Xenopus tropicalis: one gene and its partner. The protein of the gene in region 1 purifies or fractionates together with the protein of each later gene. This does not show direct contact. Links are inferred from orthologs where the notes say so. Each region holds a gene or a part of one and is shown on either strand. Other genes may lie near its edges.

What was found. Proteins that work in one complex are often made in the same cells at the same time.
Region 2: the proteins of sec31a (region 1) and scyl1 purify together in Homo sapiens (affinity purification with mass spectrometry; 3 studies listed by BioGRID and IntAct, counting the BioPlex papers as one, with this or other methods). This does not show direct contact. The link is inferred for Xenopus tropicalis from reciprocal best matches to the Homo sapiens genes SEC31A and SCYL1.

Annotation. Positions count from the first base shown.
Region 1 is NC_030677.2:85,402,312-85,405,969, forward strand, and holds part of sec31a (protein transport protein Sec31A), read left to right. Parts: coding exon 1-257; intron 258-409; coding exon 410-529; intron 530-1,542; coding exon 1,543-1,614; intron 1,615-3,576; coding exon 3,577-3,658. UniProt on the Homo sapiens protein: Component of the coat protein complex II (COPII) which promotes the formation of transport vesicles from the endoplasmic reticulum (ER).
Region 2 is NC_030680.2:33,680,346-33,684,003, forward strand, and holds part of scyl1 (N-terminal kinase-like protein), read right to left. Parts: intron 3,413-3,658; coding exon 3,299-3,412; intron 2,926-3,298; coding exon 2,770-2,925; intron 2,607-2,769; coding exon 2,418-2,606; intron 2,297-2,417; coding exon 2,221-2,296; intron 1,574-2,220; coding exon 1,394-1,573; intron 671-1,393; coding exon 537-670; intron 425-536; coding exon 344-424; intron 209-343; coding exon 1-208. UniProt on the Homo sapiens protein: Regulates COPI-mediated retrograde protein traffic at the interface between the Golgi apparatus and the endoplasmic reticulum. Involved in the maintenance of the Golgi apparatus morphology.

The sequences.
Region 1 (3,658 bases):
TACCTCCACCTCCAATTACTGCTCCCATAATGAACCCTGTGACAGACCCAAGCTCCCAGCAGCAACAGATCCCAGCCTCTGGAACACAGATGCCCTCTATACCCTTTCAGCCTTCGACAATGCTTGTAGCACAACCTGGTACCCAGACTTCCTTTCCAATATCACAGCCCTGCAACAGTCAACCTGGACTGCCCCTTGAGTCCTCAAAGCCCAGTATGGAGGGTGCCCCTGGAGCACCCATTGGCAATACCATTCAGGTGATTTAAACTAGAACTTTAAACTTAGAAATAAAAAAAATAAAAAAACATTTATGAGCTTCTTACTAGCTGTTTGTTGACTGCTACACAGTGTTTGGAATGCTCTTTGTATATATGTGTAGCTAAATATAGTTTGTATTTGTGTACTACAGGCTATTCATACTCTACCAGCTGAAAAAATTGTCAAGAATCCAATTCCTGGAGAACACCTGATTCTAAAGACTACATTTGAGGCTCTTATCCAAAGATGCTTGTGTTCTGCAAATGACCCGGTATATAACATAAGATTGAATGTAGGGCAAAAACCATATGTTTAGATCAAATTTGATGTTAAATCATATTTTCTGGCCTGACTGACAAATCTCTGTATTTCTACAATTCTATCTTAACGGAACGGTCAACCATTCCATTAAGGCCAAAGAAAAGACAATGACTATACTATTAATGGGGATGTAAAGGCAAAAAATAAAATTACATTTTCACTTTTTATACTTCAAAAGAAACCTATACTTGGTACACTGTAAGTGGATTGCAAATGTTGAAATGAAAGATCCCAGTAGGGGTTGGATTAAGTTTTTGTCACTTAGCTGCTCCTTAAAGGGATTAAGATATGGGGAAAAAAATGTTGTTTTTGTTTTGTTTTGTTTTTTTCCAAAATGCAGCCTATTGTGCTGTCACTGCCCTGCTTTAGAGTAATAGCGCTCCTGGTAGAAAACTGTCCAACAGTAACTTCCAAGAACAATTACTTCAGGTCCTAAATAAATGATACAGTGAGAGACAGAGGGTACTGTCAACACAAATATATTAAATGCAGTAAGAGTCAGTAAAAACCTTAGTTTCCCGAAGCCTGGAGAAGTTTTTAACATTGTATAGATCAAAATGAATCCAGATATCATTTGCATTGATAAAAATGCTCCCAGATAAGAGAATAGCACCCAAGAAGAAATTAAAGGACACAAGCTAAGTCAGTTGAACAGATTGGGAAAAACATTGAGTAGGAGAAACAGCAGCTTATCTTAGTTGCAGTGCTGGCTATTTCTGAAAGCAGGGGGTCAGGCACAGTGACCTGATATGGCTGCCTATGCACCAACATTACAACTACTGGTCAAGAATAACATTTTAAATGATAGCATTAAATATTTGCAATGTACACTGTGTAGTAATAAAAACTACTCCATAAAAATAACTGAATCTCTTTAAATACTATAGTGTGTTTAGATTTTACACTGTAAAAAAATAGTTGAAAGAAAAATGGTTTCATTTTTTTTTTTTTTTTTTTTACCAGCAAACCAAGCGGAAGCTAGATGATGCAAATAAACGCCTAGAATATCTTTATGATAAACTGCGAGAGCAAACGGTAAGTGTGTATAAGCATGCCATATTGTTGTACTCCCCTAACAGAAATTAGCTGCTGACTAATTTCATAGGCATTATTTTCAAAGAAGAGGTTGAAGCTTAGCAGACCTTTATACAATAAACACTATTCCCAGCAGGATGTTTGACCAAAAATCATTTGCATATGATATATTAAAATAATACTATGCACTTATCCTTCTGCACATTTGCAGAGATTGACAGTGGAATGTAAAAATTACACAGAGAACAGCCATCTTTCCAATGCCACAGTGCATTGCCAGACTATCCATAATTATATTTTGTTTTCATTTTTAGGTATTAGCTGTGTAACCTCTGGCATCTATTAGAGGGTGAAATGACTAATGTAGCCTGTGTCTATGGACCACACTTTGCACAACTCTTTCCCCATTTCTTTCTCATTTTAGCATTCGTAATTTAATATCTTGAATCCAGTTGACAAAGTAGCTGTCACTGCTGCTTTGCCATAAGCTGGATTTTTGTGTAAAACTGAAATTCATAAGAGCACTCTGCAATTACACATTAATTGTGGTTGGTTAGATTAAAAAAACATGTGTAACCTTTCCTACTAGGTTTGTTGCTTTTTTTTCAGTTTCCAGATGGTCCACTTTCTAAGTAGGGAAAAACTTTATAAAAAAGCTCATTGCTGAGTTTAGACACCCTTTTCCAAAACCAGTCACCTTCACCTTGATAATGATTGTTAATTATACTTCTCTCACGCCCCTGTACATTATTTGTTTTTAATAACTAAGTTAATATTCTGTGCAGAAACATTAACTAAAGGCAAAATTATTAAAAATATTCAGCAACAGTTTTAGGAGTTTATTACGTGTTTGAGACTGAAACTAGTGGGTAATAATTTGTAAAAGAAAGATGATAATGATGTAAGGATTTTACAACGGGGACAGAACTGGAACTGGACTTTCAAATGTTAAAATATGTTCCCATATGGTTGCAATATGTATGTATGTATGTATAACTTTATTTATAAAGTGCCACAAGGGTACGCAGCGCTGTACAGTCTTACAGAATACAAAATTACACACAGGGAGGACAAGTGATATAATATATATATATATATGTATACATATATGTATTTAAGTGCCATGTGGTATGAGACACAGTAGGAAGGAGGTCCCTGCCCCGTAGAGCTTACAATCTGAGTCAGAATGGGCACATTTAATAAAAAAATGAATGTGTAATTATTTTTTTATTTGAATGATTTGTGTGGTTTTTTTTTTTTTGTTTTGTTTTTTCCTGACAAGTCCTAGTTTTCAATTAAAGAAATGGTTAATGAAACTATATTTAAAACGCCTGAGAGGAAGCACTATGGTAACTCAAAACATACTGAAGCTGAAATGTGTGTTTAATATAATTTTAAAATATTCTTTAATTCTGTGTTACAATGTTTGATCTGTTTTTTTTTTTAAGAAATGTTTTGTGATTTTCTTTGTCATCATGCACAATATGCAGTTTAAAGGAGACGGAAAGGCTAAATCACTGGGCATGTCACTGCCCAGTGATTGTAATTTGTTACCTAAAAAACCCTGCCCGGTGCTCCTGTTAGGAGACAACTGTACCGGCTGGGGTGTATGCCAGCCAGCGATTCTTCTTTCTGCTTCGGTCTTGGCAAATGTGTAGTAGAGAGCCAACTTTAACAAAAAGGCTGGCTTTTTCACTCAACTGTGCATCCATAGGCCCTGGGATTCTAAAGAAAGAAGACAGAAGGAAGAGGAACACACTACCATATACCCCAGGCCGGTAGAGTTTTACCCTAACAGGAGCACCAGCCAGGGGTATCAGGTAAGTGATAACAATCACAGGGGGTTCCCTAAAATTTGATTTAGCCTTTCCTTCTCCTTTAATATCAAGTTTAAGTAATGCTACAGATACAGTACAACTTAGTCTTATGTTCTAACTCTATCTTGCTACTTGCTTTTTTCAGCTTTCCCCTGCAATAATTGCAGGATTGCACAACATTGCCAGAAGTATTGAATCTCGGAACTACACAGAAGGACTAAACATAC
Region 2 (3,658 bases), on another chromosome or scaffold:
GTCGGCCGCTGCTGCCTGAGGTATCCCAGTTATAGTCGCTAGCAGGCCGAGTACCTTCCAGCTGTTGGGATTTAGATGCTGTGTGTTCCTTAGAGGGAGGAACAGTCTGGAATGCATCATCCCATCCCCAGCCATCATCAAGAGCAGAAGTTCTGTTAGGAGGGGGTGAAACCTGCTTTGTTTTGGACCTTGAGGAAGAAAAGTCAACCTGGAGTAACAGGACAAATAAGTAAAAATAGAGTATACGTTGCACAGAAATGTACAAACAGCATGAACTAACCCTGCACAAAGTGCCTGCAAGGCTGTAAGAGAAGCAGAGTCACATTTAGTATCAGCCACTTACAGTTTTCTCCTGTGTTTTCCCGTGGCCCCAGTCTGTGTCCCAGTCGTCATTCTCAGTCTGACCCCTGTTCTGTTCGGCATCCTGCAAGGAAAACAGGCATACTATATACATTGGGGAGTATACTATTCCAGCCCATCACTCAGGGTTGGGGGTCAGTGTTCCTATGTTTCAATACCAATATTTTCTACCCCACCTCTAGGCTGCCCCAATCTTCATCATCCCATCGATCTAAGGAATTATCCGGAGCACCTTTTTCTTCTTCAGGTTCATAACTGGTTGGGGCAGTTGATGCAGCAGCAGGGGGAGCAGATGATGAAGGAGCAGTATCTTATAAAAAACACAATGAAAAAATAGTGTTAACAGGTGGTTCCTAACAAGACCAGCCAAGGTAATATGGAAGCAGAGGGTCATAATATTATAATGCAAGAGCTATAAATATCCTGTGAATTAAAAACGGTTCTTAGTGATGTCATTTCTGTCACATAACATTATGCACATAAATAATAAATGGTGGAAAATCATGTACATGTCATATGACAGCTACTATTTTCATAGGTGGTTGTACTTCCACCGCAAGGAGGGAAACTACTGATACAGGCGCTCTTTCCCATATAATTATATATCCACTTCTAAGTACAAATACAAATGCATAAAAAGCATTAAAATCAGTACAGTACAAAAAATCAAGTTGAAACAGGGCCAAGTGGCACAGGTAAAAATAACATAACAGATAAGCTCTGTAAAATGAAATTCAGCAACCCTAGGATTAAACAAATGCAGGAAAGCAAAGTTCATAGATAGTCAATGTCACTAGCACTGTGAACTTCAAAGAGAGCCACTAAGTTGGAAGCCTGCTATTAGCAGTCTAAAATCTCAGAAACCATTAAAAATAATTTTAAAAAAGCATAAACTGCAAAAGTGCACAAAAAAGCACCCTAGGTAAGTTTGAATGAATTCATTTTCTAAGGTACAGTTGCCCTTAAATGCCCTACATGTAATGCAGTGCATCTCCTGTCTGTGTATTAGGTTGGTACTTTAGATTATCTGCACCTGGTTTGCTTGCTTCTGAGGCAGTTGAAGGTGCCGATGCCCCTTCTGAAGCAGCTGCATCCTGGGCTCCACCACCTGTGCGGATGAACTTGGAGGTCAAGGAAGAAACGCCAGTGACGGCCCAGCCAGCCCAGCCTCCCACAACACTTGGGCTTACGGAAGCTGTGTGTACATCCTTCTCTGCAGAAATTAAAAAGTAATTATATTTATATCAGAGGAAGATTCATATTGGTAGTCAACTTCTGAAAAGCAGCACCAAGTTTCTGGAGAGAGAGACAGACAGATGGAGATTCTTGCTTTGTACAAAGTCCACATCTCTCATATATTCCTTCTATTCTTGTGTCCGATTTCAAGGTAAACCCTGGCTTTTGGTGGCTGCGGCTCGTGGGGGTAGGTTTGGTTGATGAAGAGATGCACTACATTCAGGATTGTATTGTCTGTTTGCACACAAAATGCCAATTGCTTTCTGCCCACTGGCTAATCAGCGATAGAGGGGTAGTTTGTCAGGTCAGTAGTGGCACTGTGTGCAGTTACTTGTGACCACCTGTGAGAGTATGGGCACCAGCACAAGACAGCTGCACTGAGAGATGAGACACTGCATAAGGCAATGGGTAGCACTGGTTACGTACCGACTGTACAAGCATGGCCACAGGCACGAGACAAGGGTGCAGGGATAACAAACCTGGGCGATGCTAGCATCACTTTATGTATAAAAGCAGAGGCAGAAGTCACTGCTGTGGTTTATGGAATCTGAGTCCATGACAGAGCACCATTATTTACACACAAACAGATCTGTAGATTAAAAGTGAGATAAATATGGCACTTACCCAGCTCTGCCAGCTGCGATGGATCCTCTGATACTGTCTCCAGTTTATCCAAAAAGCTGCGGATTGCTTTGAAAGCCTGAGATGAATAAATGCCCAAGTCATGGGATGTAGTGATTGGTCACTGACATTACAACCAACACAAAGCTGAGCCCTACTCTGTAATATCGCTAGGGCTGATATAAATTCTGATGCCTCACCTGCTCTCTGACATTTTTCTCTGGATCCACAGTGACCCCACAAAGAACTGGCAGAACCTTTCCAGCACAGTCAGTCAAGGAATAAAAGTTGTGTGTAGCAGCAAAACCAAGAACACCTGCTGCCCGCGATGGCGAAAACGGGTCCTTGGTGGCTCGGCTGAAGGCTGAAATCAGAACCCTCTGACGTGTCTGCAAAAAGGGAAAGCTTGCACTGAGCACATGTGCTTGCACTTCTTTCATGGCAACAAGCTTCCTGGATTTTAAGGACAGTGTATCCCAGTAATGATAGATGTATATTTAGAACATGTACCCAGTAGCAATATGCACACACAGCTTACACATAAACACTTACAGCAGGATTTAAATATGGCGCAATCTTCCCAAGACAGACAGTTGTGTTACAGCGGATTGGTCCCTGATCATCACGTGCCTGGAGTCTGGCAAAATGCTTCATTAGCTCCATATTGAGGTTATTCTCATTTAGCTTCGGGGCCAAGAGCAACATGGACTGAAGGGAGAGAATAGAATATTATTAAGCTTTTGGCAACAATGTATACTCGTTGACTGCATTCAAACTATTCGACCCTACGTATTATAAACACTATTTCCTCTCATTCCTGGGCCTGGGCTTTCTGACCCCTGCTGCACACTTAGGGAGAATCACAGCACTTCCTTGTCTGTCTGCAGTCACTTCCTACTGGAACCAATCCTTCCTGGCCATGATATATCTGGAATTAGCCGCACTTGCTCAGTTAGCAATCATCAAAGTGGCTTTTGCATCTAAACTGAATGGCAGGGTTTTCCCCAGAACCTACCAAGAATAAACCTTAGAGATAAAGAGTGGGTGTCTGTTATGCATGGCCATGTTGCACATTACTTACCTTTACTGTCTGCTCCCGAATAGCAGGGTTGGTATCCATAAAACCATGTACGACGTGAGGGAAAATCTGTGCATTGACTGTTGGTTCATTTAAATACTGGATAAAATTCTCCATCTGCCACATAAAAATAAAGATTTAATGTACTTTATTATCAGATTACAGCTGAATTACTAGTATGGCCTTTAGTTTTAAAATGGTGCTAAAGATTCTCAGTTGGATCGAGATGAGAGGTCTGACTGGGCCGTTACAGGACATTCACCTTGTTGCCGCTGCAGGGTTGCTATTACAGGTATTGGATCCCTTATACAGAAATCCATTATCCAGAAAGTTCTGAATTACGGAAAGGCCATCTCCCATAGA